2 linked regions of the Alligator mississippiensis genome follow. The protein of the gene in region 1 purifies or fractionates together with the protein of each later gene. This does not show direct contact. Links are inferred from orthologs where the notes say so. Each region holds a gene or a part of one and is shown in the gene's direction. Other genes may lie near its edges. The genes, in order: NMNAT2 and FBXO45.

What was found.
Region 2: the proteins of NMNAT2 (region 1) and FBXO45 purify together in Homo sapiens (co-immunoprecipitation; 3 studies listed by BioGRID and IntAct, with this or other methods). This does not show direct contact. The link is inferred for Alligator mississippiensis from reciprocal best matches to the Homo sapiens genes NMNAT2 and FBXO45.

What each region holds. Positions count from the first base shown.
Region 1 is NC_081828.1:54,143,273-54,159,556, reverse strand, and holds the start of NMNAT2 (nicotinamide/nicotinic acid mononucleotide adenylyltransferase 2), read left to right. Parts: upstream 1-8,556; 5' UTR 8,557-8,627; coding exon 8,628-8,712; intron 8,713-16,284.
Region 2 is NC_081830.1:36,872,205-36,888,716, reverse strand, and holds the start of FBXO45 (F-box/SPRY domain-containing protein 1), read left to right. Parts: upstream 1-10,073; 5' UTR 10,074-10,126; coding exon 10,127-10,360; intron 10,361-11,818; coding exon 11,819-12,175; intron 12,176-13,730; coding exon 13,731-13,811; intron 13,812-16,512. Other genes in the region: WDR53 (WD repeat-containing protein 53), read right to left, coding at 4,866-5,453, 7,606-8,085. UniProt on the Homo sapiens protein: Component of E3 ubiquitin ligase complex consisting of FBXO45, MYCBP2 and SKP1. Functions in substrate recognition but also plays an important role in assembly of the complex.

The sequences.
Region 1 (16,284 bases):
CCCACCCCATAGTTTAAAAAAAAACAAAAAAAACCCCTGCACTTACATGCAGTCTGGTTGCATCTGGCTGACTGGGGCCCCGAGTGTGGAGCAGGGTGACAGCCCTAGCAGCTTCAGCCCAGGCCCTGCTGCCCCCCCCGCTGCCCTGTGCTGCCTGGGGGGGCTTTGCCAGGAGGCCCTGGGCCCCCCCTCACCCCTGCTTCTAAGGTAAGCAAAGGCTTTTATTTTCCCACTTTATCCTGTTTTTTTCTGGGTTTTTTTAAAATAATGGTGCCTGGGGTTGTGGGGGTAGCCATGGGGGCCTGGGGGTGCAAGTTGCGGGGGGTGAGGCTGGGTGGGGTAGCCATTGGGGGGGCTGCAGCAACTGGTGGGGGATGGGGCCAGGTGGGGCAGCAATTGGGGGCTGGGGTGGAGCCTGTGAGCCTTGCAAGGGGAGTGGTAGCCCCTGTGGGGGCCATTTGGTGCCCGTTGGGGGGCTGTACCACTTGTGTGGGGGATGAACCCCCTGTTGTGGGGCTGAATCCCCTGTTGGGGGCCTGTACACCTTGTTTGGGGGTTGAACCCCCTGTTGGGGGGCATACCCCTTGTGTGGGGCTGAATCCCCCTATTGGCGGCCCATACCCCTTGTTTTGAGGTTGAATCCCCTGTTGGGGTCTGAATCCCCTGTTGGGAGCCTGTACCCCTTGTTTGGGGGTTGAACCCCCTGTTGAGGGGGATACTCCTTGTGTGGGGGGCTAAATCCCCTGTTGGGGGCCTGTACCCCTTGTTTGGGGGTTGAATCCCCTTTTGGGGGCCAAACCCCCTGTTGGGGGACATACCCCTTGTGTGGGGGCTGAATCCCCTGTTGGGGGGCTGAATCCCCTGTTGGGGGCCTGTACCCCTTGTGTGGGGGTTGAACCCCCTGTTGGGGGGCCATACCCCTTGTGAGAGGGCCAAACCCCCTGTTGGGGGGGCTGAATCCCCTGTTGGGGAGGCCAAACCCCTTGTGTGTGGGCCATCGCCCTGTGGGAGTGCAGCAAAACATGTATTCTCATGAAACATGCATTTAGATTTTGCTTTATTGTTATGATAAGAGACTTGCTTTAACACTGTAAGATATATCAATAAAACATTGTCCAACTGATCACTGTCTCTGTCTTGCTCTCTGTCTTTATAGTGGTCTTTTGTTTTACTTGTGAAGGAACATGGATTTGGAGGTATTTTACAGAGTGACTTTGGGATTTTTCTTATCAGGGTTTTTTCAGTTTTCCAATAGGGAACACCAGAATTCCTGCTAGGGAGGCCAGTGGCAGGACCCTTCTTGCTCAGAGCTGGCACCTGGGACCCATCTGGCCAGGAGGACATGGTTTGACAGTTCAAAGCAGGCCACCACACCCGGAACATCTTCCGGGTGATAGCTGCTCAGATGGCCGGGCAGGGGGCACAAATGGCAGTAGTGCCGCACAAAGGCCAACCCTGCAACCGCAGTCCACTGGCAGCTGGCCCAGAGGGGCAGATGCCTCTGCTGGCTGTACAGTCCCCATCCGAGTCTGACAGGTGCACAGCAGGTCACAGCCAGGCAGCAACCCCCACTGCCAGACTGCTGCAGTGGGTAAAGGTGCAGGGAACTCTCAGGGCTGCTTCAGCAGTCCAGCTGGCACAAGGGGTAGTGTCCCTAGGTACCAACTGGCTGGGTCGCAGAAGCTCCTGAGAGCTAGTAGCCTTGAGCTACTGCCAGGGCAGCTTTTTATACTGCTGGGGCCAGGACAGGGCACCTTTTTATACTGCTGAGGACAGCACAGGTGCTGGCCCCGGGCTCTAGCTCCCCCTGGCGGAAGATCTGGGAGGAGCCAGGCAGGGTTATTTTGCACCAAGTGGCACAATTTGCTCCACAGCAAAGTGGATGTCCAAGCACATGCAGTGAAGCAAAAAGCCCCGGCTCAAATTTGCACCGCTTCTATTTGAGCTGCTACAAGCACACATGCTTGCATGTGTGGATGCGCCTTTAAAGGTTAAAACATTTGTGTGGATCCCATTGGAGAGCTGGAAAGTCTTCTTTACCAGTAATAGAGAACATTTCTAACAACTATCAGCAAGTGGCCATGGTGGTTTGCGAGATGACATCAGGACCCCTATGTGAGTAGTAAAGCTATTTTAGATCATTTAAAGAGGGTTTAACACTATATTCTCATTTCAATATCACCCTGAGGTGAATTAAAGTAGCAATTAATGTGCTCCATTTCAAAGGCGGGATTAAGTAAAAAATAGCACCAATAACATTTCAGAGCTCTATAAGAATTCCTAATGCAACTCTTCACTATCCCGTGGTGGAGACCAGGGATTCTCTGAACTTATTTATAGGGTGGGTTACTTCATAGCAAAGAGGCCATCTCACCATTATGACCCTTTCCAACCACCATGGTATAACATCCTCATGGCAATGTTTCATTTCTTTTTTTTAAATGTTCACAGAATATACCTACCATTTTCAACTGTCACAAGTGATATTTCTTTATCTCTTGTGATAGAATATGGCATGGAAAAGGTAACAGGGACAAAGAAATGGGTGTATTGCAAAAGAGTCTCTGCTTCCAAGCACAGTCCCCTAAATCAATATATTCCCACACCATTCTTCTTATTCTAATCCCTGCTTAGGTATCTCTAACTGGTTTGTCTGGTGGCAAAGTTCACAGACCAAGGCCTTGGCGAGGTTACTGGCTCAGCACCTCCTTCTGTCTGGAGTTATGTCCAAGCATGACATTTTGGGAAATTTGCTTGTGTAAAACATATGTTCTATTTTTTATGAAATTGTTTTATCCTTTAATACCTCACTGTATATTGAATCTATGCTTTGCCAACAATGTTTGTGCCACATACTGGGAAGGTGTGACTGGAACAATTATGACCTGACAAGCTGAATGGCCTACCATTCAAATGGAAACAACCTAGAACAATGACATTGCTGAGGTCAGGGGTGGCACAAGGCAGCAGCCTCCAGGTGTGGCATGTGGCAGACTGGGGAGAGGACAGGAAGTACAGTGACAGATAGGGCAGGAAAAGCAGATCAGGTAGGGAGCACAGGGCAGGAAACACAAAGCAGCACAGCAGATTGGGAAGGGGGTTGGAGTGACACTCAGGGAGGGTACAGGGATGATTTGTGGAATGCCTGACAAAAAGGTTGGTTCCCACTGCTGTAGGTAAGGCGAAACCAGTTCTTATCAGACAGTCTGAAGGTACTGGGGGGTAGAGGAATAGAAAACTGTCAGCATAAAAGAAGGACTCTATGACTGCTATTAAAAAGACAGGAGACTCCAAGAGCTGCTGTTAAAAAAGGGCATGCTTACTGAGTGGGGGAACATTTGAGCACCAGGCTAGAATAAGCAAAGGGAAGCTGTTTGCTACAATAAGATGATAGTTAATAACCAGAAAGAAAGGATAAAGTCGGGTCTGGGACTAGGAGTGGGTATCCAGGACCCACAAAGACACTGACCAAAACCCAAAGAATATTCAAAATTGGAGAAGCCTGTGGGGCAGGGGAGAAATTGCATGAAGGTGTTTGTCCTTTCTCTTGTGCTTGTCTATGAGTAATGTGTGACGGGTTTAGAAATTCCCTTGCAAAGTCTGTCTGTTACTTCCTTCAACTCACTGTCAAGTATTCCTATAAGTGGAAGTACTTGTGATGGTTCAGCTCTGAGGAGGTTGCGTTGGAGCAACTAGGCTGTCCTGGGGATTGGGCGGTACAGCCCTGATCCCTAGAAGTGGCATTAGTCAAAAGGTTTGTGCCTTGGAAGCATGCCTAAGGCTACTGTCAGTCAGAGACAGCGTAAGGAATCTGATCAGATACAGGGAGATCAGGAGTGTACAGAACCAGCACTGGGGTCCAAACATAGCTATCACAAGGGGCGTCAGTAAAGTCTGGGACTGTTAATGTCACTAATTGGTAAATCTAGTTTGCTCATTTGTAGCAAAGGTCCTGGGCTCCCTGAAGCTATACTTTGTTTTTAATATACAAAAGAAAATGGATCATACAAGTTTACAGGCCTAGCAAAAACAACCTTAAGGATTGGCCAAGGGAATTTCTATGGATACTACTAACATCAGAACATTATTCGTATTAACAGGAAAAGTAAATTGTCAACTTCAATCCAAGAAGAAGAAATTAAGGGAAAATATTAAAGTGAGACTGTCAAATTAAAAAGAGGTAGATGGCAGGATCTTAGTGCACAACACTGTGGGGGACTCTGAGCTGCTTCAAGGAAGTGTTCCCTATGTTTAGAGCAGCTTCCTGAGTTGCCTAAATTACATCAGGGCCTATTTTGGACTCTGGATTAGCCCAAAATCCACAGGAGACATAAAGGTGGCCTAAAGCCCCACTAGTTCCCTAGCTCCATGGCCTCCAGCATTCATGCAATCCCTTTCTGAAGCATGGCCCCAAAAAATTTCACCTCATATTTTCTAATGAAAATTTCCTATTTATGTTATTGATGTGTCCTTGATTTATTATTAACTTTGAGAAAAGCCCCAAAGTATAATGTACCTTTTCCTGTTAACAGTTGTTTCCTTATTTTTTTTTGTCTTTCTATTATCTTGGATGATGAAAATAAAATAATCCACTGACTTCATTTTGAAGTTCTCATATCTTTGCACAATATTGAAATGATGAATATGTATTTACTTTGAACTACTGTTTACAGTGGGACTGGAAAAATAAAAACCCTAGAGCCACTACTTGGGTAGACTTGTGTGTTTGGAAAACTTTTTAAAAACTAAGGCCAATCTGATCTGTTACTGGTCTTTTAAAAAAATCAGATGTGGCTTGGATGTTTTATGCATGACTGAGGCACATTGGGCGCATGTACATGTGCAATTAGTGCACCTGAATAAACTCCAGCACAGTGTGCGCTACAGTTATCTGCTCCTGGGTGAAGTGTCTTCACATGTGCCCAGAACCACAGCACACTGAGCTGGGGAGAAGAAGCCCTGGGCAGGCAGAAGGTCCGGGGGGTCAGACCCAGGCTCTGGGTGGTGGTGTGGGGTGGTGGGGGGGCTGGCTGGGGCACAAAGGTGCTACAGTGTGTGGCTAGCTGGCAGGCAGCCATCTACACATGTGTTGCAGTGGCATAAATTACTCCATTATAGGATAGTACTTGTTCCAGGTAGCACTATCCTACGGTGGATTTAATTAATTTACTGTGCTCTAATATGGGCACACGTGTAGATGGTAACACGTCACTGTGGAGCTAATTAGTCAACTCCACAGTAAAGTGCATCTGTAGATGCACCTATTGTATTCTAATTTACTTTAAAAAAGGGCAGGCTTCTATATCATTTCTTTACTCTTTGTAATAAATATGGTGAAATTTACTCCTTTTCCTTCCCTCCTCCCTCCACATGTAGTGAGACAACACAAGACTTATGCTCTGCTTAAGCCCCCCTTAAGCCCTGTTCTGACAACTGTGTAGATTTTAGGGCCAGAAGGGATCATTATTACAATCCCAATCTGGCCTCCTGCATAATACAGGCCATGAATTTTATCTGGTGATTTCTGCATCAAGGCTATCTCTTGTGACTGATGCTGGCTGCTTATCACTGCCTTACTGTCTGATGTTTAGGTGGTTTGGGGTGTTCGGCTTTAAAGTATAGCAAAATAAATTTTAACTTTCAGGATTTCAAATGTTTTTATGTCTTCAAAAACAATGTTCCCTCAAGGATTTTTTTTCTCTGAAATGACTGATAGATGTTTACAACCTTAACACACAATTTTTTCTGCCTGGGAGTATTTTCTGGAGCTTTTCCAATGTAGATTTCAGTGTCTTCTTTTAAAAGAGCCCTGGGTAGTGCATATAAACTGCTTCCTGTTTTCAGTGCTCTATTTGTAGAGTGTTTTTTTATTGTTTGTTTAATTCTGACGGATTAGATATATGGGTAGACTTCATGGTCCCTGTCAGATTTTCCAAGCCTGCAAGGTCTATTCAGAAGGGACTTGTGAGTTATCAAATACTAAGAGGTTTTGAACAATGTTGCCAAGAGAGAAAAGAAGTGCCATTAATACCCAGTCCCCATAGCAGATTATACAGAGCTTCTGTGACACACCACAATTTTTCTGAAATTCTATGTAGCTGAACAAGACCAAAAAAAGCAGGAGGAGAGGGACAAGGAAAGAAAAATGTTTCAATATTTTCTAACTTTTCCACAAGGGTGAACTAGTCAGAGAGATCCATGACGGTTTGTGTACAGCTGGTCTAAAGAAACTTTATGGGTGTGTTTTACTGTGTTCCACCAGTGTTACTGTGAGAGGCCTGTCTCTGGCCATGTGTAAACACAGTGCTGACTGCAATATAGCACAGATTTTAGCTAGAGCCTTTAAGCATCCCTGCAGTATAAATAACAAGCATTCCCGCAGTATAAATAACAATAATAATACTATTTTTCTACACAGATGGGCTGCAGGAACCATCTTATTAATGGTTTCCAATTAGATTGTTATCATAACTCTGAGCTGATCTGTGGCCTTTTCATAATACAAAACTTTTCAAGATATAGGCTCTGGCAACAAGGGGGAGGTGGGGCAAGAAACCGTCTGGATTAGCCAGCATTGAGTCATATCGATTAAGCACGAGAGTCATAAAGATAAATGCATAAACTGGGGCCATTTGACCTCTGTTGTTAGCAGAAATGAAAGACACAAGAAGAGAGGAAAGGAAAGAGAAAAGGTGGGTATAGCACTGTAGAGCTGGCAAGGACAGAGAGCCTGCAGTATAACAATAAATGTTTGGAACTGCCAAATCTTAGAGAAAAAGACAAAGAGATGGCACTTCTGTTACAGGAAGGGGGAGAAAGGGAGCGCTGCAAGTAGGAGTATTCTCTCTCTCCTGGGAAAGCAACTGGATACAGCAGACAGAACCCTTGGTGCTAGAAAGTATTCAAGAGGCATTTGGGGTGATGGGAGCACTATTCAGTGTTTGACAACAGTCTTCTGCAGCTGTACCCTGATGTGAATCCAATCTAGTGGGTGCATATCCTGGTTACCAGTAATACCTTCCAAGTGTGTTGTGCGAACCAGTCCTAGTAGTACTTGCCTGGTCTGTAGGTTTCCAGTTTCCATGCACTATTCCTAAACGTTGTGTTGGGAAAGGGGATCCAGTTTTCAGTAAGCCCTCCCACATAGCGAGACAGAGCAGAAAATCCTACTTCCAACAGCCTTTTCTAGGGAGAGAGAGGCAGTTTGGGATAAAAATTGCCATGAGACACATAAAAGGTGCACGTTTTTCCAGTACTACAGACCAGGAGGCATCAGGGTCCAAATTCTTCCAGTGGAGTGGCTGTGCTCATCCTTGTTTTCAGTTGGAGCTAGGGATCCAACATTGTCAAGATTTAGCTGCCAGATCTCATCCAGGTCCTAGTTACAGGTGCTTATGGCACTCCTGCTAGCATTCCTCCAGCTTTACTCCAAATGCAATGGGACTGACTACATTTGCTCTATTCAGTATTGCCCAAGAACAAAAAAAACCCTGCCTAGATCTTGCAGGAATAATACACTGGATCCCAGTAGAGTGGGGCCTATTCTCCCAGCATGGATAAGAGTCTGGATTATTACAGACAGTAGAAATGGCTGAGGGAGGAGTGGGGAAGTGATCTGGATTCAGACATTCCTAGCTGGAGACTTGAGGGCAAAATCTGGCTAGATCTAGAAGGAGCCTGGTGTCACCTCTGGGGTGTGTGTGTGTGTGTGTGTGTGTGTGTGTGTGTCCAGCAGGCCCTTGCTTGTGTATGTGTATCCATGTCTACAACAGCTCCTCTCTCAGCTTCAATTGTGTGTGTGTCCAACAGCCCCTCACTTGTGTATGTGTATGCATGTATATAACAGTTCCTCTCTGACCTGTGGCCTGTGTAATTGTGTGTCTGTGCATGTGTGTGTCAAGCAGCCCTTTCCTTGTTTAGGTATATCCATGTGTCTACAACAGCTCTTCTTTGGGCTGTGATTGTTTGTGTATGTTCAGCAGCCCCTTGTCTGTGCACATGTAACCATGTCTACAACAGTTCCTCTCTGGGCTGAGTGTGTGTGTGTGTGTGTGTGTGTGTGTGTCCCCAACAGCCCCTCACTTGTGTATATGTATGTCTATTACACCTCCTCTCTGGGCTGTGACTGTGTGTGTGATTGTGTGTGTGAATGTGTCTGGCAGTCCCTTGTGTACCTGTATCCATGTCTCTACCAGCTCCTCTCTGGGTCATTACTTGTGTGTCTGGTTGTGTGCCTGTGTGTCTGGCATCCCCTCACTTATGTACTTGTAATCCATGTCTACAACAGCTCCTGTCTGGGCTGTGACTGTGTGTGTGTGTGTGTGTGTGTGTGTGTGTGTGTATCCACATCTCCTACATCTCAGCTCCTCTCTGGGGGGCGGTATATGCATGTATGTATGTACGTGTGTGTATGTGTACATGTATGTATGTACTGTGTGCGTATGAGTGTGTGCGCCTCCCCGGCAGCCCCGTCTCCGGCGCTGAAAGCGTTAAGGGCGGAGGAGTGACGCCGCCTGCGCTTGCCTCCGCTCCCGGAGCCCCCAGCACGGGCTGCGCCTCGCCCGCCACCAGCCCCTGCAGACGCCCGAGACGCAGCGAGGGAGGCGAGCGGCGGCCGCACGGGAGCCATGACCGAGACCACCAAGACCCACGTCATCCTGCTGGCCTGCGGCAGCTTCAACCCCATCACGAAGGGCCACATCCAGATGTTCGGTGAGTGCGGCCGGCGCCGGCTCTGCGGCCGCCCGGCGCTGGCGCCGCTCCAGCGCGCTAGGGCGGAGGCTGCTGCTGCTGCCCGTGGCGGCGCCGCCTGGGGCCGGGCCGGGCCGGGCCGGGCGAGGGGACCCGCTGCAGCGCGCCCGGACGGCAGCCGCGAGCGGGGCCGTGTCGCTGTCCGCCGCCGCCGGGTGCTGAACCCCCGCCTCAGCGCCCCGCAGCTCCCACGCTGCCCCGGGCGGGGCGGTCTGGCCTGGCGGGGCCCCTGGGGCGCCGTCCTGGAGCGAGCCCTGGAGAGACGGAGCGCGGAGGCCCGCGGCCGGGGGGTTCTCGGGGCGGGCTGCAGGCGGGAGCCGCTCTGTTCGCCCAGACTGGGTGGGGGGGCGGGGAGGGAGCAGATTCGTGCTGTGGCTGGGAAGCCTCCTGTTTTCATTTCTCCTGGCGTATTCCCGGCCCCTGGACCTAGGTGTACACACACACACACACACACACACACACACACACACACACACACACAGAGCAAGGCCTCTCTCTCTCTGTCTCACACACACAAAGTCACAGGCACACGCACATCATGATTCTTTGTGTGTGTGTGTGTATATATGTATCAAGGCCACACACGTCCTGATACATATGCACACACAGAGTCAAGGCCTCACACACAAACAAATCATGATACACACACACACACAGATTCAAGGTGTGTTATCTGGTTAGGAGTGCACATCATGCCACTTATTCCCTATGAAGGTCTCTCCCAGTGTCTCTGCAGCACTTCCATTTCCTATCTGTCTGGCAAGTGAAGAAACAGGCTCTAGGATGTAAATCCAAGGGCTCTTTTAAACAGAGAATAAAGCACCAGGCACAGAACCCACTAAAACTCAAGATGCCTGTCTGACATCCAAAAGGAAATAGAAACACTCATTGCTGAAAATAAATGTGAGATGATGGATGCACCCCTATAGGTTTCAGTAACAATGCATGGCTGGAATGTTGAAATCTCTGGTTAGAGAGAGACTAAGCAGAGGGAAGGGGTGTGGCACCCGACATCAAAATCATTACCTGCTTGGTTATTGATAGTTCACATGAACAGAAGCTGGCAGGCTTAGGGGACCCTATATCAACTGAAAACTCACTTACAAATACAGGAGGAGCAGCATATTAGACATCTATCCATTATATGCAGAAAAAAAAACCATGCCATATGATGGGGGTTTTCAATCTGGGGCACTCATGCCAGTCTTGTTGTGGTATTGGTAAAATATCCTTGGAGTTTCTGAAAGCTATGAATACATTTCTCAGTACAAAAAAATATCGGTACTAATGCATGTTTAATTATGTATTGGACTGTATCCTGACCGATAACGATGAAGTGATGACTAAACTAAAAATTGACAGTTAGGTGCAAACAATCACAGTCTAAATTCATTCACTGTGCGCCAACAGAATCTGGTCCTGAGCAATAACAGATGTGCTCACACAGTGCTTTAATAAGGCCTAGTCCCAAAAGGTAAAATAGTTATGAACAAAACTGAGCAGCAAAAAATATTTAAACATCAAATGTTTTTTTTAAACAAATCTGTGAAGGTAACAGTGTTGACTGAACAGACTTCTCTAATATGTTTTCTCAAGTCCTGCATGACATGCTGATAAAAGAGAACCAAACAATCAGTGCAGCCCATATTCAGTGGATTAAAATTTGATTTTGATTTCTTTTCGAGATATCAGTTAAATACGGAATTATCTTCTAGTGAGGGTGTCCCTAGTGCATTCCCATAGAAATCTGGTTTTGGCCTAAATTCTATTCAATATCTTTACCAATGACCTGGAAGAAACTATAGAAATCAATGCTGGTAGAATTTGCAGAGAACAAAAAATGGTGGAGTAGTAACTGATGAAGGGAATAGGTCAGTTATGCGGGCTGAGCTGAATTGCTAGTCAAGGTTGGCTCACTTGAAAAGCCTAATGCAGAGTCATACATCTAGAAACCAAGAATGCAGACTGTTTATAAAAGATGGGGGACATATATATTGTAAAGCAGTGATTCTGAAAAGAGGTGATAATAATCATCTGAACATGAGATCCCAGTGTGATGCAACTAAAAGCACATATATGATACTTGGCTGCACAAGCAAGGAAATATCAAGCAACAATAGCAGGCATGACTTTTGTATACTGCATTAGCAAGACTCTTGTTGGAATATTGTGCCAATTACTAGTGTCCACATTTGAAAGAAGAACGAATTGGAGAGGACTGATAAAACAGCTGCAGGAAAGAGAGGGATGCTGAAAAACATCCTTTATAGTGAGATAAACTACATAGGCAGGTGTTTTTAGTAAGTTAAAAGAAGGTAACAGGTGACCTGATCATGGTTTGCAAGTATCTATCCATACAGGGTACAACTGTGGTGGGCGAGGGCTCCTTAGCTGGGTACAAAAAGCTATGACATCCAAAGCTTGAAGCTGAAGCCAGGCAAATTCAGACCAGAAATGAGAGGCTAGTTAACCTTTAGAATAACTTAATGTTGTGGTGAATTCTTCATCACTTGAAGTCTGTGTGTCGAGACTTGGATATTCTGCTCTAAGATATGCAATATTTCAAAAAAGAAGTTATGGGCCTGCAATAGAAATAAGAGGCTGACTTTCTTTGGCTTGTGTTATGCAGGAAGTCTGGCTACACATGTATAAAAGGTTCCTTCTGTCCTTGAACTCATGGCATATATCATAAATTAGGACCCTGTTCTACAGCTTGTACTTGCACTGTCAGCCCACACTTATTCCAGAAGGAAGCCTGGCTTCAGAAAGGACTGAAAAATGAGATAGCCAGTAAGGATCACTTTTGTGATTAAGGCTTAAGGGGTTTGAGTTCTTGCTCTCCTTAGTCATGTAAACCAGTAGGATTAGTCATATGAGTCAAGCAAACAGGATTTGGTCTTTAGTTTATAGGGCTCCTTTGGCTTCATCTTAAACAAAGACCAGCATAGTACTGCTTTGTGGAAATGTTTTTCAGACATCTAACTAAAGATGCAGTCAAGAGATGCAAAACACTGTCTTCAACTCTCAGATAAATAAATAAGCTTTATAAACCTTACAGGAAACATTTTTTTCTTCAGTATCAGAGGAAGTATTTCTTTTTAAAAATGCACTACAAATTAAGCAAAAGACAAGATGCGAAAATAAAGGCTTGTAGTTAAATTTTTGCTCATGAAGTTGGATTCTGTTGACTTTTCCTCAAGTTAAATTCCAGCTAGTCTCTGTAGATGGTGTAACTACATAGAAACTGGAAGATTGGATCCAGGGTCTTTATCTGATTGGTGCACTATTTCTACTAGGTCCTTTCTCACCAATTACATCAATTGGAGGTAAAGAGTCACTGATAGGCACCTCCTTTCAGGCAGTTGTGATTGTGTTATAACCATAGGCCCTGATCCTGCAATTTATAACACCTTGGCAAACCCTATCAACCACATGACACCCCAGTGACTTGAATAAGGCTGTACTTTGTCAAATGAAGGAATGGAGCCTTAAGAACAGTTAAGTGTGGTTTTATTTACATATGTACATACAATACTCAATACTGCTAGATACCTAATGACATTAATAGTTCTGATAAACATCATAATAGCTCTGAAAAAACTTAGGCTTTGTTTAAAAAAGAGGAGGGAGTGGAAGGTTGGAGTGTTTTACTATATAAATTCTAATGTGAACAAAATGGTTTGTTTTTTTTTACTCTAAGGGAAAACAGCTTTGTTTGATTAGTATTCCAGATGTGTGTTAATAAAGACAAAGAAGAACTATGCAAACTCATAACATTATGGAATTAAGTGAAAGATTCAGAACAAAATCCTCAGTCAAAAAACAACTGAAAGGATCTCAAACATTAGCCATTAAGGACCATAAATGCTTACCTTAGTCAAGACAGTAGTGCCATTCAACCCCAAATCATTTTTATTTCAAGTTAATACTCAGAGAAATGTAGTGTGGTATATGCTTAGTTTCCATCAGTGGCATGCAACGCTGGAAAAAATGGTAAACCTCTCAGAGAGTTATACAATTCTGTAGGCATGAAGGATGGAGCCATTGTTTTGAGAAGACCTCATCATCAGGCTTACCCCCTGTGGTACAAAGAGCAGCTCTCTAATAAGGCATTAAGGGGATTTGGTGGCTGAAGGGTATCTCTCTACATCACAGATGCATCACAGTTGACTTCCTTTTTTTGTAAAAAAGGAAAGCAATGCCATAAAGGACAAAATGTATAACCAATGTCAAAGCAAAAAATAATCTGTGGAGCCCCACTGACAAAACAATGCCAACACTGGCAAATATCCAGCTGACAAGTATGTGTTTGCTTTTTAATTAAATCATTCCCCTCTAGCACAGTTAACCCCAACACAGCAGCATCCTGCTAATGCATGGGCACCAGGAAGCAAAACTGATGAGGAACCAAAGTCCAGCTGCCAGCCTGGCTTAATTCTCGGAGAGAATTTACACCACTCTGTAATGGTGATGAAAAAAGTATGTTCAAATTTTATAGTGATCTAGGCTGTAACACTGGAAAAACTGTTTATGTATAACTAAAATTGCATGGTGTTCTCCCAATCTTTCATTACAATAAAGTGTGGCAGCAAGGAGGCAGAATTGCAAGAAAAATATTTTTATTGAGCATGCCTAAAAGACAGCATTACCTCTAGAGTTAAATGGGAAATAAATAGTCCTGTGGGATGAAAATTTGAGGTTATTGAAATCTGTCCCATCCCAAATCAGGATGAAACCCTCCCCCTCCTCCCCCCCCCCACACTTTTTTACTACCTGGAAGTCAAATCTACTTTTAAATGGGTAGGGGAAATCTAGGGTAAACATTTTAAAAATGCCTAAGTGGCTGAAGCTCCTAAGAGACTTAGATGTCTTTGAAATTTTTATCACTAAAATCTTTTCCTCTCACAATAACAGAGGTTTAGCAAATAAGATCATAAAATACAACCAATATGGAAGAGACTAGAAAATTTGTATGCGTATGGATGTCACAGATCTAATTATTAGTAGATATTAAAGGTTCACTAGCAAGAAAAAAAACCCACAGAGCCAGAGAGGACCACTCTATCCCAATGGGGAAATCTGTAGGACACTGTATAGGAAAGAAAGAGGAAAACTGCACCTGATTCCTCTTGTGGCATTCCCAACAACATGTCCCTTCTGGATTTGCTGCATGAACAGACCTTGAAGACAATGAAGAAATCTTGAAAAGTTTTGCAAACTGAAAATGGTTTGGGTTCAGGTCAAAACCTTTTTTTGGTAATCCAGCTTAAATTTCAAATGACAAATTTATTTGAACTGAAAAAAAACAAACGCAGTTGTGCTCCATTTTGACTTTGTTTTAAAGAGAAATTCTTCATAGCCTGCTCTTTATTATGCCTCAATTTAATTTAAATTAAATGGTCTTTTTGATTAAAAAAAAGTGTTGCTGTTTTCTTAACCAGTTTAGTCATATATAAGAGACCTGTGCTTGTCTAGTTGCAGCCTTGCTTTAGCTTGTATCAAAGAGCCTCTGGCAATCTACAAAAGTAGGTCTTCCCTGGGCCATTTCCATTCCTCCTCTCCCCTGCATCTCACTCCTCAGACTACAGCCAGAAAGGTAGAAGGATCCGTCATCTTCACAGTACTCCCCCTTCCTGAATTCCCCAGGTCATATCCATAAGGCTGGGGGAATTAAGGGTAAAGTACAAACTGTGCACCTCCAGATGTACAGGGAATGTCCACAAAAGTTACTGTAGGTTTATTTTGAGCATCTTGCCCTGCCCCTTGGCTGTGTAAGATGTCTTTGTGATGAGTACTAGAGGTAGCTGCTAGTTATAAAAACACCTGGGCATCCAAAAAAACCATAAATCCAAGGGAGAGGAGCAGTCTAGAAACTGGACGAGTTAGAGAGAAGCACAGATTTCTTCATAGGCTTCAATATCTGTTTATGCAGCAAATCCAGAAGGGTCATGTTATGGGGAACGCCACAAGAGGAACCAGGAGCAGTTTGCCTCTTTCCTTCCTATACACTGTCCCACAGATTTCCCCGTTGGGATAGAGTGGTCCTCTCTGGCTCTGTGATTTTTTTTCTTGCTAGTGAACCTTTAATATTTACTAATAATTACATCTGTAACATCCATATGCATACAAGCTTTCTAGTCTGTTCCATGTTGGTTTTATTTTATGGTCCTATTTGCTAAACCTGTTATTGTGAGAGGAAAAGATTTTAGTAATAAAAATTTCACAGATACCCAAGTCTCTTAGGAGCTTCAGCCACTTAGGTGCTTTTAAATTTATCCTAGGTTTCTCCTACCCCATTTAAAAGTAGATGTTACTTCCAGACAGAAAAATAAATAAATAAATCAGTGGGATTGTAGCATCAGATGTGATTTGGTGACCGGAATAATTCCTTCCAGTTCATATTCATAATGACAATGAATCACAGCTATGCTGTGATTTTTGTCTAATTGGAAGCAATTTTTTGCCACATCTATTCATACATACATCTACTAATGAGGAGAACTTGTTATTGTATCCCAACCAACAGATTGGTAGAAAAACACATTTCAAACTGAAAGAAATAAAAAAGGGTTCAGATGCCCAAAGTAAAAACTCCCTGTATTACATCTTAAAGCAAACGCCAGCAATTAAAAATCCCAGAAGGCTGCTCTTTGATTATTCAAAGCAGCCCATCTGAAGGAGAGCCACTGAAGTCTGTTAAATTATGTAAATAGGCTTCCAAGATAAAGGGACCAATTATTGTAAGCCAGAGAGAGGGAACAGGAAGGAACTAGAAAGGGTTGTGGATTTTTTTGTTATTTTAATCTCCTCAGTTTTCAAAATAGGATTTCCAAAAATGACTGGACATAAAAAAAAAATGACTGGACTGCAAATACGATCTTAATCAAATGATCTCTTATCAAAATACAGTTGGTAAATTCTATGCACTGAATGATGTGCTCACATTTCCGCTTTCTTAAATTCACTTAAATGTGACTGCATTTGCAAATGACCAGAAGAATTCCCATGAAGCACAAGCCAGTCCAGATCCTAAGAGGAAATGACAATGTCCCTTATAAAGGGGAGGTTCAGTCTTGACCTTAGATGTAGTAATCATTAAATCCTTGTTCATGTGAGCCTGAATTATGCTAGACAAGTTTCTAATGCCATTTAGAACATTTGTTTTTCTGTCAGTCTAGAATAGACAAAAATATGGGGAGAATATACATCTAAGTTTTTTCTTTCTACATTGGATAAAACTAGGGTGAACCCAGGATTGCATTGTCACTCTCATTTCACTGAAAGTTTCAATCCTTCCTGGGTGGAAAACAACTTCTTTTTAATGTTTCTTTAAACAAGAATGGGATAAAGTTTCTGCAAGCTCTTTGGGACAGGGAAAATCCCTCCTTACCTGCATTTCAAGTTGCTAGGAACATCCATTGTACAGTAACTGTTTGAATAGTACGCATTCTTCCTATAACTTTGATAAACTGCATGGCTATTTAAAACAGAAGTCTGTTTCTTATCTCACTCACACTGGTGTCACTCTCTTGA
Region 2 (16,512 bases), on another chromosome or scaffold:
ATACACATGCAGCAGCTGATTTTGTAGGACATGCAGTTACCTTACGTAGAATGAGGACCCTTTATACATTACACCAGCAATACTTAAGACCCATTTTGGTTAGATGTGTTACATCTGACACATGTGCATTGTGCATTACAAGACTTCTCTAGCAGCTGTCTTCCTTCTGTTACCTCTTCCTTCCAAACCATCTCCACATATTTGTCATGTCAACATGGTAAGCACTTGATCAGTACAAGGGAATATCAATATACTGGTACAAAGCACAGCTTTGCTGGCATGGCATAATAAAACCAAACCCAGCAAGTGAAACAAAGCTATACTGGTAGAGGTACATTTTCGGAGGTATAATTGTCTACACTGGGTTTTTTGCCACCATAGTTTTTTTTTTTTCTATGCCTCTTCTACCAATATAGCTTCAGGGGTATGAAGTCTGGAGTTGAGGTATGGTCCTAGAACCCAAGTAACTATTTGAAATTCAGACTATCAAATCTTTGGGGAAAGGGTTGCAATTGCCTTGTCAATAGAGCTGTTAGGAAGGGGGCATGTAACAGTGGTTTATATGTCTTGTTATTGTTCTGGAAGTGAGAGAGCAGGTCTTGAATTGGATTTGTGTCAGATGTAACCCAGCTATAAATGGATACATAGTCACCCAGAAAAGAGAGCCAAAGTGGCTGGATGTCAGTCCCTTAGCACCAGAAACTGGTGTGCCTTAACCATACTAGCCTAAAGAGCTGCTAGGCTTAGGTGGACCTTTGATCCCTTCTGATAACTTCTAGGTCAGTGAGGTTCCTAATCTTGAATTGGGGAATATGAATATATATAGTCATAATCAAAAATACAATATTTCTATATTCAAAATTTTAAAATTCCAAATAATAAAAAATTCTGTATTTCTGCATAGATATTAGGGTGCAGTTAATTAAACTAATGTTTCTATTGGCAATGCTGGTACATTTGTTACAGTTGTCACTCTTACTACAGCACTTAAATTGATAATTACATTTTAGTAACAAGGATTTATATCTCTTTCCCATCCAGTAACTGTAGAGCATTTTCAGATCTACTGTCTTTGTTCTAAAATTATCCTGGAAATTATTGGCCATTTATGATAGAAAAACAGCCTGCAAATTAAGGAAACTAGGTTACATTTGATCTTGCTACTGCTCATGCCTCTATTACACTAGGAACACTATGTACTGACTAGAGAGAATTTTTAGTGTCGCACTGCAGCTGAACAGGTGGACTGATGCCAGTAGGGGTACTGGAGCCAGACTATCTTGTATAAAGCCAGCAAACATGTTGGTCAGTTTATACAAGTTTCCTTGATTACAGAGTTTAAAGAACTGTGACCCCCCCCCCCCCCCCCCCAAATCCCTCCTCACCTCAGCATACCAATCCCCTTGTCATTGCCCTCCAGATTCTCTGGAGGTATACTATTTAAAAATAAGGTTTTTTTTTCTAAAAGCTTTTTTTGTGTGGTTGCATTATTCCTTTCCCTTCTTTTGAACTTACCTGATTCTGAACTGCCTGCCCCAACCTAAAAACACCTGCCCAGAAGTAAGCACTATCAGAACATTGTATGGTTGGGAATGGAACCATTAGAACCTCCTGATAGCATGTTACAGTTAATCAGTATTTTTTTCTAAGAAGACATCACTCATTGGTGATCAAATAGCTGCATTCAGGTTTGTGGCAAATACACCAGGGTCACAGGGTTAAATGTCTTCAAGCTGCGCAGACGTTTTGTTCATGAACCTGCACAGCTGGTTGCTTTTCAGAGTTAAAGCAGCCCAAGATTCCCCATGGTTTTATTTAGTCCGACAATCCCATCAATCTATGTCTACATTTATTTTCTAGGAAGAAACAAACACAAACTCATGTAATTCACAGACCCATGATTACTTTAGTGTTAGTGTCTTCCTTCATCCCGCCACCCTATACTCCCATCCTAGTAAAGTGGAGTCTTGCCTTATTCCTCAATATAATACTAACAACACAACACATTGTGACCTGTTTAATGTCTTGTTCAGGGAGTGCAGAGAGATGGTCTCTTTAGTCATCTTCATGGGGAACAAGGATAGAAGAAATAAAATTTGAACAGGTTGGAATCGTGCTTGATCCTCTTCTGGGGCTGTCAAAGATAGCGTGGATCAGGGATCCAACTCCTGCTGATCGTTTTGCACTGAAACTTTTTATAGACTGTACATCTAAATATAGTTCATAGACACACATGCAGGCACATGTCCATGGACATTTGGCTTATTGAATTACAATTTTAGTTCAGCTCTTTCAATATAATGAGACTATTTTTCTTTATAGATGATCTGAAAAGGCATCTGGGCCCTATTCTGCTACTTTTTGATGTATTAACTTGTTCTGGTCAGCATAATAGCTAATGTCTCAGTACACAAGCAGCTTAGCTATTATGTTTTTATAGGCATCATGTAAAGGATGGATCTGGATGAGGAGAGTTTTAATGGATGTTCATGAAGGTTTCCTCCCAAGTGTAGTGGATAGAAAGGGAGAAGGCACAAAGGTACCCATTTGAAAATGTTCACACAGCTGATGGTGTCTGGTATTGGGGAAGGCTGAAAGGTTTCATACAGTTTGCTTGTTGTGTGCCTGTATTTAAAAAATGCAGATGCTATCTCATCTAGAAAACTGATAACTAGATAGGACACCACAAGGACCAAAGGCTCTTGAAACTAGAACTCAGTTGTCAGTTCAAGTAGTTAATACGTTTGTCCATGATAGTCTGGATGCTGTACAGATATTGCTGGAACATCCAGACTAGCATTGCCTCACCCGAAAGGCAACAATGAAACTCAAAATTTAGAATTTTCTTTCTTATTTTCATCCCTGACACACTAGCTTCAACTACAAGCTGTGTCTTATGTCTGCTCCTCCTAACAACTGGAGGGAATGGGGGGTGGATAGGGAGGGGTAGGGTTCATGGAATGAATATAAATTGTTAGTCTTAAAGCTGTGCATCACTTCTTGCTCTTTTATTTCTCCTGTCTCCCTTTCATAATTCATTTCATTCATTCATTTCTTGTTTCTCCCATTACCCTTTTCCTGCTCACCTTTCTCCTTGCCTTTCCCTCCCCAACTCCTTAATTTGTGTGAGGAACTTATATATACTGTAACAACTTTTTAAGTACCAAGCAATACATTTCATAGTTGTTAAAGAGACTAAAACGCTAATTCCAGAAGTGACTTAAGATTGTGATCCTCATGAGCAGAAACAAAAGGACAAAAATAAGAATAGCATGTGTATTCATACAGTAATAGCGATGGTACTTTAATACCTCAAAGTCATAATTGACAGTAAACATTGCTTTATTGTGGCATTAGAATTGTAGGAGTTCCACATTTTCAGGAGAGCATCGAAAGGGTTTGAGTATGTATAAATGTAAAGGTTGTTTTTATCATTAACTGGTGTCTAAAGATGTCTACTGGATTCCTTGGAAACTAACTTTCAGTTCACAGATTTGCTCTTTACTTATTAAAATAGTTACTCCATCTCCCTTGCCATGTAAAAACAGCTGCTAAGATTTACATTATTAAAGAGTTTAAAACAAAAGATTGTCCTCTGTATAGAGGAATTTTTCAGCAGATTTACCCATTGTAGACTTCTATATGTACAAAGCACCTGAAAATAACTAAATGTAACTGGGTGAACAGGTCTCTAACCTGTGCAATACTGCCCTCCTGGAACATCAAAAAAGTAGGATATGCCGAGAACATAAATTCTTGTCTCCTTGGGCTACTTCCCTTTCAGAGAAGCAGAATATGCATTATCTAATTAAAATTGCAGGATTCCATTTCTTCCCATTTAAATCTGAGAAGCATATCTAAATCCACCTTAAGGCCAAATTTTGCTTGCTCATCTCATATCAGTATCCTGTGAAGTCAACAAGACAATTTGTGTAAGGCAAATAGTCAGATTTGGCCCTTTGTACACTTTTATTTTGCAGTTGAAGTTATACAATGCTCTTCTTGACACTTTTGAAAGCAGAAGCACAAGGGGCAATGAAGAGAAAAGGCTTTTATTTACAGATTTAATAGCTAACATCTCTTCTGGGACTTTACACTTTTTTTTTTAGCTTGGGCCAGGTAAATAATCAACATTCTTCCCCTTCCTTATGTCTGCTCCATCATGAAAATCCCATTGAATTATTATTTACTGCGTTTAGTTTAACATAATTCATAAATGTTTCCAGCCCATGCTTTCAGCTGCTTCAGTGAAGATACTTTCCACTTATGAAATTATGTTCAGTTTAGGTCAGACTTCCTTTACTTTTTCTGTTTCAAAAATGTTGGCAAAAAACTAGAGATGAAGCAAAGAAAGCTAGTAGATTGGCTATTCTGTAGGGATCTGGGTGGACTTCAGCCAATTGCATCTTCATTAAAGCTTATCTCACCAATTGATTTGTTCTGGGATTGTTTTAGTTTACATAGAGGAGTCCAATACTTTTGTCAGACTGAAGACTTTCTTTCCCATTATTTCAGCATTTCCAGACTGAAACATGACTGAACCTGCTATGTATCGCCTTCATGTTCTGAGGGTGCAATTCCAAAAACCATTTAAGCAGCCACACGTCTATTTAAGATTTACATTGAAGATGGGCCATAACTGCAAGAGAATCCATGCACATATGTTATGCATACAGGCAAGTGATGCCACAGCTAATCCCCTGCCACTTCTAAATATGCAGGAGTTTTAGTTGTTTAAGCTATAAACAGGGACCTCTCTAAAGGGTAAATGGAATAGAAGGCAGTCTAGAAAAATCAGCTACACCAATTTAAATCACCCCAAGGAATTAGCTGCTTGTGAAAAATTCCTTAAAATCTTTTAATGTCTATGGCTCAGTGAGAGGATACACTGTTATGGAACTACTCTGATCAGCAACTAGTACTCTCTTGGAGCCTTTGAAGTCTGCACATGAAATCCAATTCACCTTCTCTCCATGTTCAATGCTCAGTTTTGGTAGGATTTTGGCATGCTCATTTGTAACCACTGCATTGGGCTTCCCAGCTCTTCTGGTCGAAGCAGGTGCCCTGGTCTTCCTCCTGTGGATGGATTTCACAGGACTCTTCTGTTGCTTCCCAACTTCACTGTTGATATCCCACAGCAACACCTTCCCATCATTTCCACCACTCAACAGCCAATAGGTTTCTGGCAGGAAAATAACTTGTGATACTCCCAAACTGTGGCTTTTAAACCCTAGCTCCTGTTCACACTTGACACCTGTTACCCTGAAGATCCTTATTTTACCATCTTCAGCACCACAAACAAAGATATTGCCACATGCAGCCACAGACAGAGAATGGGCTAGTGGAGGGTTAAAGAACTGGCCAGCTGATTGCTGCTCCACCTCCTCTGCTTCACAATCCTGCAAGGTTGTGGTCCACAGTGGGCGAGCTTTCTGCAGGTTCCACAGCATAACCTTCAAATAAAATGAGAAGAATGACTTCTGTAGCCCCAACCTTGTCTCCCAATTTGATTGATAATACTAAATCATCTGAAGAGAACTGAAAGTATGGAGATCTTTTCTGTAAGATTACACACTAAATTCCTCTTGCATGTCAGACTGCATTCAGATTGCACAGATCCTGCATCTCTTCCAAAACAGCTGGTGAAGGTCAGCTGCTAATTAAAACATCCTTAGTAAACAGAATTTTCTGCATCTAATGAAACAGTCTTGCTTTAGGATAGCTAAACATTTTGCTTTTTAGGGTGTGAAAGTGATGAAGAAATCACTCATGCTTTAGTAATCATCTGGGGAGCAGCAGCCATGACACACTGAACATCTTGCTTATAAACTGTGCAACTGAAAGAAAGTTTTAATGGTGACCAACAATAGGATTGAGAGTCATTTTAAAATTTTAATTCAGTTTGTGCTTACTTTCTTGGCTTTTGGTACCCTATTTCATTTGCTTTTCTCTCTGACATGGGGATAATGCCTATTTCACAGGGGTGCTGATTTTTTGTACAGCACACTGAATATGTGAAATAATGGAATAATGGAAAAGAGCATTTCAGTCTCTCACTACTTTACAAAATCCAGTAATACAAGTTTTTTCATATTAATTTCAGTGTGTTGAAGAAAAAAACAAATATCCCCATTTCATTTACATCCTTTGTAGCTTTGCGCTAGTGCATGAGAATTAAATGGAACTGACAATAGGTGCATGTAGCTTCACTAGGCAAGCTGAGTAAGAGAGAGAAAACAAGTTATTTTTAACTGGCATTAGACCCTTGAAGCACAACTTGCAAAACCACACACAAGGACTTTAGCTACATGGTTTCCATGATCAATCACACAGCGAACAACTCATATTTCACACACTGTTTACTGAAAGCATGAGGTGTTCTTAAGTTTCCATACAGTCACTACCAAAACACTGTATATTATGGTAATATGGTAAGGGATGATACCCGCAGGCAAGTGTGGTGTGAGATCATTTTTTTTTTTTAAGTGTGTTGCTTTTTTTTCTCTTTAAACACAGCACCACCAGAAAAAGCCCCATAACAACAAATATGCTTCCACATGAGAGCTCTGACTCCCTCCACAACCAATAAGTATTCCCTATGAGCCATCCAACAGAACTAATGCAATAGTTGGCTTTGGCTACTGCTCTAATGTCTGCATATGGTATTTACTATTCTCAGTCTAGCAGAACTGAAAGCATTAAACTCAATCTCTCAGGCTCATCACTGCACCACTGATGAACTGTCTTTATCAAACCCATTATTTTGTCATTAATAAACAGCACATCAATATCTATGAACTCCAATAGACAGAACTTCTACATTAGACTAGAAAAATGGTTCTCAACCTTTTTAGATTCAAGGCACCCCCACCCTGGCTTGTGGCACCCCTAACTAGACTAGGGGCACCCCTTGTAAAATGCCAGCTCTTAATTTTTATTTGTTTTTTTGACTACAGAAAAATACTGGGGCAATTCTTCCATTAGGAAGAACTCAGAGAAACCACAGATGAGAATGTTTTTGACACTACAGGGTCCTATCTTGTGAATCATGGTTGAACACCTGTGTGGCACCCTGTAGCACCCTTGAAAGTATTTCAAGGCACCTTAGGCTGCTGTAACACCCCAAGTTGAGAATCACTGGACTAGGAATCTCAAACTGTGGTCCATGAGGGGCTTAGTTGTTGCATGCTGTTCATTTCCATAAGCTAAAATGCATTGACACCCAAACTATACATTTCCCTATGGCTGTTCTAAACTGTCATTTAATTTTCTTACCAAACTCAGCAAAATGCAAACAAAATAGTTGTCCCCTTTTCCATGATAGCTATTGCTAATTTCAGGGGCACTATTTGTTCACAGATAGCCTTAAAATAGACCTCTAAAATAAGGGTTTGATCCTGAAAGCCCTGACCATAAAGGGCAATCCTTTACATCAGTGGAACTTCCATCATGATACAACCACATTAAGATTGCTAAAGAACCAGAAATTACTCTTACCACCCTAGAGTAAGAGAAAGGAGTGAGGTAGAATGAATATCTAATTGCATACCATTCAGCCAGTATTTAAAAATCTAGCAATCATCCATCTACTTCCATACAAATCACCTTCATGTCTAGTCCACATGACACAAGACTTTGAGGCCTCTGAGGTCGAAACGCAACAGAGGAGCAGATATTTGAATGTCTCCTGAGGGACCGGCTGACTTTCTTGTTTTCCAAGTCTATAATCTTGATTGCCCCAGAGTCATCAGCTGCAGCCAGGACACTGTCTGTGTCATTCACAGAAAGGCAATTGATCTCTTCCTCATTTACGTGGAAGCATTCAATAGGCCCCTTAAGGCACCTGACATCCAGCAAGCTAATGGTTTCCCCATGAGATGTGTATAGCCTACTTGGGCAGGTGGGAGAGAATGTTACACAGGTGATATCATCTGCTTTCTGAAGCTGTATCTGTCCCAATGGAATCCCTTCCTCATTCCAGATAGCAAGCTCGCCTGCCTCTGCTCCCGAAGCTATCAGCCCTTCTTTGTTCACATTCAAGCACAGTATAGAAGAGGAATGTCCATCGGTCCACTTGACTGCCATGATGCTTCAAGGGATTCTGTGAAAGAAGGACAGAGTTAGGCAGTTTTTCCTATTACAGTAGAAAGCTTATCAAAGTATGTAAGACTACTGGGTTGCTGATGAAATAACATGAGCATGTGAGCTGCTAGTCCAAGGTAAAATGGGCACTTGTGCAAGTTTGAGTGCAAGCACACCAGTCTGTATGCTTACAATACTGACTCCTTAGAACAGTGGAATGGTACATTGTTAGAAGTGCTTGTATACAAATTGTTGAACTACACCACCTTGTGCAGCTATCTAGATTAGGGGTTGGCAACCTACAGCCCATGGGCCAGCTCCTGCCCACAGAGCCATTTAATGAGATCTGCAGACGTGGGGCTTCAGAAACATTCAGTGGCAGGATGGCTCTGGCATCAGTTGCTCTCCCCTGCCTTGGTGGAAAAAAACAGTGGAGGTGTCCTAGCAGTTGCTCCTCTCTGACCTGAACAGTCAGTCCAGGCCAGAGGAGGTGACAGCTACAACCTGAAGCCTTAACGAATTCCTTTGACTATACAGTCACTAGATCACCAGTATTTGACTCACTGCAGTGTGAGAGTCTTTGCTATTTGGAACAAGAAGAGTGATTCAGGAGGCAGACTGATTGTAATCAAGTTTCTTTTCCTTTCTTTTCTTTTTTTTTTTTTTTTTAAATCATCCTCAATCTACATGAGGGGCTGGCAACATTTTTGGCCTGAGTGGCAAAAATACCTGCAACCTTGACTTGTAAGATGTTGGCGTGCTTGTGTGAATGGTGGGAGAGCTGCAAGGGGCCTGATCCTTATTGTGGCAGTGCAATCCTTGCCCTGGGGCATGCGTGCCAAATAAAATGGCTTCATATGCCATGTGGCACATGTGCCAGAGGTTGCCTACCCCTGATCCACACCATCAGCTTCACCTGGTTCTGCAGAGAAGCCCCCTACCAGGGAAAGCTAAATCAGGTGGCTTAGCAACTAACAATGTTGTCCGCAATTCCCAGATGTGAGAACAACCGCTATTGCGGCTCATCAGCGGCTTCAGGACTGGACTCAAGACCCATCCCACAGACATCACCGGTCTTTCCACAGGGGAGAGCGGGCTGGGATTCCTCTCCTTTCCCTTCCTCCGCTCTCTCCTTTGCTTCAAGGGCGAGACGTTCTGCCAAGAAGCAGGCGGCTGCATGACTGAGGCTGCAGCGCCCATGGGGTGGGTTGGCAGCTAGCTCCTCCCCACTCCCGTCGGCCCGGGAGTGCTTGGGCAGGACAGGAGGCGCCACCTGCCCGTGGGCAGGGCGGGGGTCGCTGCCCATAGCCCCAGGAGCGGTGCTTCGATTCTTCCCAGCTCGGGGCCGGCGGCGTCGCGCGGGGGCTGCACAACGGGTGGGAACGAGCGTCGAAGCCCGTTGGGCGGCCCCGCCCCAGCGCCTCCCGCACCTCCGACCGGCCAAGGCCGCAGGGGGGCAGGAGCCGCGCGGGAAACACGAACTCGAAGCTGTATTCCCTTCGCCTCTGTCCGTAAGGACCCCCCGCCCGCGCGGCCACGGCACGGGCACAACCGCGCAGACCAAAGCGGGGCCTTAGCTTTTCCCCTCCTTCGCAGAGATCTTGGGTCCCCCGCGCCGGACAACAAAGGGGAGGAATTACCTCCAACCACACCAACAACTCGGCATCCTCGCGTCTCTTCCGGCGCAGTTTGATGACGTAACCCGGGAAGGGAGGGCTTTTTTTCTCCCTTGCATTACCACCCGCGCGTTCCCTGCTGCGCATGCGCGCCCGGCTTCCTCTGACAGCTGTGCCCTCAAGTAAAATGGCGGCCCGCATCCTCGCCTCTCTCCTCCCGCCCAAGCAATGACAGCGGGGCCTGGGGCCGGGGGCAGGGGGAGGCGTCACGGCATGGCTGGCCCGCCGCTCTCGGAGTCGTGCTGGCAGTGAGAGGCAGCTTCTCCGTGGCTGGCGTGGGGCTCGCTTCCGCCCGCACTTTGCCGCCGGGCGGAGCGGGCGGGGGCTGCTGGCGCCGCCCGGAGGTGGGGGAGGGGCCGGCGCCGGCCATGGCGGCGGCGGGCGGCGCGGGCTGGCGGCTGCCGGGGCGGGTGCTGGAGCTAGTGTTCTCCTACCTGGAGCTGCGGGAGCTGCGCAGCTGCGCGCTGGTCTGCAAGCTGTGGCACCGCGTCCTGCACGGCGACGAGAACAGCGAGGTGTGGCGCAGCCTGGCCGCGCGCTGCCTGGCCGAGGAGGCGCTGCGCACCGACGTGCTCTGCAACGTGCCCACCTACAAGGGCAAGGTGAGCGGCGCCCGGCGCTCCCGCCTCGGGGTGGCAGCGGGGCAGCCCCCGCCCGGCTCCCTGGAGCAGGCTGCAGCGGCCCCCAGCGGGGCCGGCCGGGCAGCGCGCCCAGGGGTGGCCCTCGCCGCAAGTGGAGTCACTTGGAGACGCTGGTGGGGCACCTGCAATAGCCGGCAGGGGCAAGGTGAGCCCAGGCACCCTGGCTTTCACCGGCACCAGCCCTGCTCTGGGTTTGTGGGGGTGCTGGGAGCAGTGCACCCTGGGATGCTGGGGGTGGCAGCCTGCTCCTGTCTCTGGGGCAGACTGAAGGGGCCCTAACAGGAACTGCGAGGCCTTTGCCTCAAGTGGCGCTGCTTCGAGATGCTTGGAGGGCACTTATTGGTAGCAGATGAGGGCCAGGTGAGCCCCCGCACCCAGCTCCATGCTGGCACAGCTCTGACTGGCTGCTATGGGACAGGTGAGCAGGAGCATGCCCAGGTGCCTGGCCCCTGGGCTCTATCCCTGCTGTGAGTGGGGGGGTGCTGGGAGCAGTGCATCCTGGGATGCTGGAGGCCAGTAGCCTGCTTGCTTTGTATCTGTAGAGCCGACCTTAACTGGAGCTGGGGAGCATGGCCCAGAGTTAGCCTTTGCCTTAAGTGGTGTCACTTCAAGACTTTTGGAGGGGACCTAGCAATAGCTGGCAAGTTGTGACATGTAGACTCTGGTGTTTTCCCAGCCCTCAATGGGGTTGCCATGTAATGTGTCCCTTCGTCCTCATCGCCCATCTGGTGCTTGCAGATGATGTGAGCATTGGCTCACAGGAGTGTACACCTCTCTGATTTGGTTAGGCTGCAGACAGATGTCGCATGTATCCCAGGATAACCTGTTTTATCCTGGGACAAAGTCCAGTGTTCAGATGTCTGTCCATGACAAATCCTTAAAAAGGTTCACGGGATGAGAAGTAGTAATAGTTTATCCCAGGATATTGCCAAGTGTGTCTGAACAATTGTCCTGGGAGTTGCATTGTGGAATCAATGGCAGAAGAACAGTGGTACATTTGGCTGTTCCCTAAACCTTTATTAAAAGGGTGATGCATGTACATACAGTGCTTAGATATTTCTGTTTTGGGAGAAACACAGGTACGACTTGTCCAGGGACAAATGCAACGTCTGTTCCTAGCCTTGATCTGTAATTTGCATCTCTAGCCTGCCTTCTCTGTCCCTCAGCTCAGCTGCTCCTGATCTCAGAAGTCCAGGTGCACTCTGGTTCTCTGGCTTGTTTTGTATCTAGAGGCTTTGGGTAGCAAACCCATCTTCTCTACTTTCTTGTGTCATCACATGCAACCATGCTTTTTAAAAAACTATTGCTTGAAACTGAGTACAAATGTGCTGCAGGATGTTAATGAAACAATTGCATTCATGGTTTGTTCTCTCCAGTCCAAAAATTCTCTTCTCTCTCTCTCTCTCTCTCTTGTCTTAGGTACGTGCCTTTCATCATGCTTTCAGCACCAATGACTGCTCCAGGAACGTCTACATCAAGAAGAATGGGTTTACTTTGCACCGGAACCCCATTGCTCAGAGCACCGATGGGGCAAGGACCAAGATTGGCTTCAGTGAGGGTCGTCATGCATGGGAGGTTTGGTGGGAAGGCCCTCTTGGCACGGTAGCTGTAATTGGAATTGCCACAAAACGGGCTCCCATGCAATGTCAGGGTTACGTGGCGCTGCTGGGCAGTGACGACCAGAGCTGGGGTTGGAACCTGGTGGACAATAACTTGCTACATAATGGAGAGGTAAATGGCAGCTTCCCACAGTGCAATAATGCACCAAAGTACCAGGTGAGTGAGACTTGGAACCAGTCAGAAACTGCTGCATTTGTGGGCAGCTGTCCATCAAGAATAAGCCTGAGCACTGTTTTCAGTAGGGGTGCACGGATAGAGATTTTTGAGCCAATACTGATGACTGATTTTTAGCGAGCCATATTGACTGATTCCAACATTCAGCCAGGCAGCATGGAGAGCAGCGTCCAGCTGGTAAGTCTGTTGTGGGGGAAGGGGCATTGGGGGGGGGGGGCAGTTGGGCCCCTGTGGTGAGGAAGAAAAAAAGGGGCTGGGGCAAGGGCAGGCACTGCACTGCCGGGGTGGGGTGCAGGATGGAGCCGGGAGCGGCTTGTCTGGGATGTGTGGGGACGGGGTGGGGGGAAGGTGGCTTCCGCCACTGTACGTACTCCAGGAGGGCATGGGGGAGGTATGCCCTTGGATCTGCACATGGGGTGAGGGGAGCCTGGGGCTGGGGTGACACTGGGCTTTTCCCAGCAGCGGGCTAGGTTGGGCAGCCCGGCTCAATCTCCCCCTCACTGGGAAGAGCCTGACACAGCCCACACTCACCCCCTGTGCCCTTCTGGGGTGTGTGCAGCAGCGGGAGCCACCTTGTGCCCCCATGACGAGCCGCTCATGGCTCCATCCCACACCTCACCCTAGCTGGGCGGCACCTGCCCCGACCCAATCCTCTCCATTCCTCACTGCTGGGGCCTCTATCTTCCCCGTCCCCCTCAATGCTCTCTCCCCCTTCACTCACAACAGACTTACCAGCCAAACCCAGCTGCACTCCTTGCCACCTGTGTGCTGCGCCTGCACAGGGCATTTATTGGCCATGTTTTTGAGCACATCAGCCAAAAAAAGCCAGTTGCCTTTACTGTCACTTTTTTTTCCTTATATCAGTGCCAATCTGATATGGGACCAATGTATTAGTGCACCTCTAGTTTTCGGTGCGTCGCTTTTCCTTTTTTATGAAAATGTCTAGCTGTCTCCTGAAGTGGTCTTACTAGGCAGCTTACACCAGTTACCTACTTACCTCATGAGGGTAATAATTTTGCCTTGTTACCCATTTTCTGCTTTGCCCTGTTTTTAGATTTCTTTCCTATGTATAAGAATTTCAGACAATTCTGAAACCTAAATGATCTCCTTCAAGGAAAATAAAAGACCACAATTTTTATCCGAAATCTTAAATCATCCTATGTGTATGCATCTTATTTAAAGGCAGTTATCTTGTTTCTGTTTTATTTTATTTTATTTTTTTTAATGAGAGGTGACTAGAATATTCTAGTTTACCCATTGCTATATCAAATAAGTATTACATCTTCTGGAAATGCTTCCTGGTGTGAAGTGTTTCTGGTTGGTACTTGGGTAGACCCCCGCGTGGCCGCCCCCCCCACCCCAACACACACCAGGAGAATCCAGTGTAATGCTAAATGGTGTTTACTCAGTAATTAGTACTCTTTAGAGGTGATATCTTTCAGATAAAACAAAATTGAAGTTTAGATAACTTGTGGTAATTAGCATATGTGATACTTTTTCCATATTTAGCTTTGATCTGACCCAGCTTTATTTTTAGGATAACTATATTCTACCTACTAGATTGCCTCATGCTGCAGTATCAATTATGTGCAGTATACTCCTTGTCTCATTCTGTCAGGTAATGTTTTTATGTGATTTTATTTATTGTTTTTAGTCTAGAGGTGGTAGCATATCAGTGGTGGGTGAAGATTTTTAATAATTTTCTGTATAATGTCCCCAAACCCCACTTTAAGTAGAAATTGGCTTTTTTGATTAGTGTAGTGAAGATGATCTTGAATAGGGGCACTGAAGTCTAAATTACATTTCCCTCTGAGATTTGTGCCTCCTGTTTTTAACAGTAGAAACCTAAAACGCCTGTGAATAGAAAAGATTGAAGATTTTTCATTTCAGTTCATGCATTTGACACAGCTGTGTATAGTCTCTTTCCCCATTTATCACTTGTGTTCAGATTCTTTGTGTTTGGGCCTTTATAGGGAAAGCAATATTTTATAAAACTGCAGAAGTTTTCTTGGACTCAAGGCTGTAGAGTATGTAACAACTGGTTTATTTTTATTTTGATTGAATTTCAAGTTGCTGTTCTTAGAAATATATTTCTGTAAAATAAGGCACATAACATTTTTCTATTTCTAAAAAAAGTGAAAAAGGTGTATATTCTTTAGTGTTGTTTTACATAGAAGAAGAGCTTAAAGGAGATTACACGGAGGATAGTTTGACTTTTCCACAACATCCTAGACAGTATTGTTACTGCTTGCTGTTGGGGGCTGTTACCTAATTACATTTCAAAATTGCACTGTGGGTAAATAAGTTGGCATGCAGCATCATGTTTATATGATGATCTGTGGGTTTTTTTCCAGGTGCATCGAGTATCCTTTGCTTTTGTATAACCTTTTTTCTTTCAGTTTTTCCCATTTGTTTTTGTCCAAAATATTTGCAATCCTGATGTGTTGGTAAATAAAAGATCAGTTGTGGTACTTGAAGGACAGGCATATCCAAAAAATTGTTCAATGCATCTTGCATATGCCCCCTACTTTCTCAAGTTGTTCTTTTGGCTTTAAAATCTACAAAGACTTTTAACCACAAGTTCTTAACAGGCATATGCTGTCAAGAGAAATGCAGGTTGGAGGCAATTACAAAGTTGCCATATACTACAGAATGAATAGATGGATGTTAATTCTTAGGGTTACTGACATATCCATGTAAAGGTAACATTTGGTATTTATAGCATTGTGGGGGTTGTATGTACTCTGTCTGCTTGAAACAGCTATTGAGTGTAGCTAATCAGAATCTCTTGCGCATCAGTGAAATTGATGGATTTCAAGATATGCATTCATTTTTCTCTGGAAGAATAGAAACATAGACCTGGAAGGGGCTTGCTGGCCATTGAGTCTAGTCCTCTGTGCCTACAGAGACTCATTTACTGAAAGAAGTCCCAGAATTTCTACCTCAAACCCTCACAGACATGTACAAGGCAGAGTACCCAGGACACCAAGAGCACTCTATCACATACTGTAGAGCAGGGGTGGGCAAAATGGAGGATCTGGCCGTGGCTGGACTGCCATTTCTTGGCAGCCCCTGCCTGCATGGCTCCCGTTTGGTCTCCATGGAGACCCAGGATTGCAGGGCCGTGACAGTGAGTGGCCCTGGGCAGAGCTGCAGTGTGCTTCCTGCACACCCCTGCTTGCAGAACTGGGGCTTTGCCTCAGCCCCAGGTACGCAGTTGGGTAGGGAGCTGCTCCAGGGCCAGCGGTGGCAGCAAGGGGCCAGGGCAGAGCCGTGATCCACTCCTTGCATGCCCCTGTCTGTGAACCCATACTTGGTGCAGGAATGTGCAGGCAGTGGATCATAGCTGTGCCCTAGCCCCATCCCTGTACTGTCAGTGCCCCAAGATCCTGTGATCTCCCCAGCCCCACTCACTTGTCTCACTCCCAGCCATGGCTTCATCCCAGCTTCCCAGGTGTGCGCCCTGCCTGCTTGGGTCCCAGTCCTGGTGGTGGGTGTGGGGCAGACAGGCCAGGGTGCCCAGGCATCAGGGCTGGGTCTGGCAGCAGCAGCCAGAAGGAGCTGGTGCCACAGGGGCTGCTGGGAAATAGAGTCCATTGTAGGCTGGATCTGGCCCATGGGCTGGATTTTGCCCTCTCCTGCCATAGAGGCATAGAAAAAAGCAGGGGAGAGGTGTTGGCATTGTCAATGCCTTGATGCTGTAATGAGGCTACAACTGCAGGGAATAATTTAGTGAATGTTCAAAAGTTCCCAATAAAAAGACCATTTCCCATGCTATGGAGGAAAGCAAGGACCCCTACAACTTGTGTCAATCTGACATAAGGAAAAAATGACTTCATATTTGGCAGTCAGTATGACTGAGCAGAAGAGCAAGAACTTCTAACCAGGAACTTCTGATTTTTTTTTGATTTTTTTTTTTGTTTTGTTTTGTTTTTTGGGTTGTTTTTTTAAGCATTGACAGGAGCATCACTGCTTTCCTGTCAAAAACCCACAGTCTTGGCTGTGGCCAATGTTCCAGTATTTCAGAGGAAGGTGAAACTCACTCTACCTCCTTCCACAAGTCAATAGGATTTGGGGGGGGAGGGGGGAGATTGCTTGCTTCTCCTTACTGGCAGTCAGTGAAAGCTCTGAAATATGTGATTACCAGACACTGATTACACTGAAGGAGAGTTACATCTATAGTCCATTGTGGAAAGTGAAACTAAATGATTCCATGCATCTTACGCCAATTGTTAAGCCAAAACTCCGTTTTACCATCCCATCCCTTCTATACACTTATCCAGTTCACTCTAAAAGTGTTTCACCTCATTGCTTTGCTT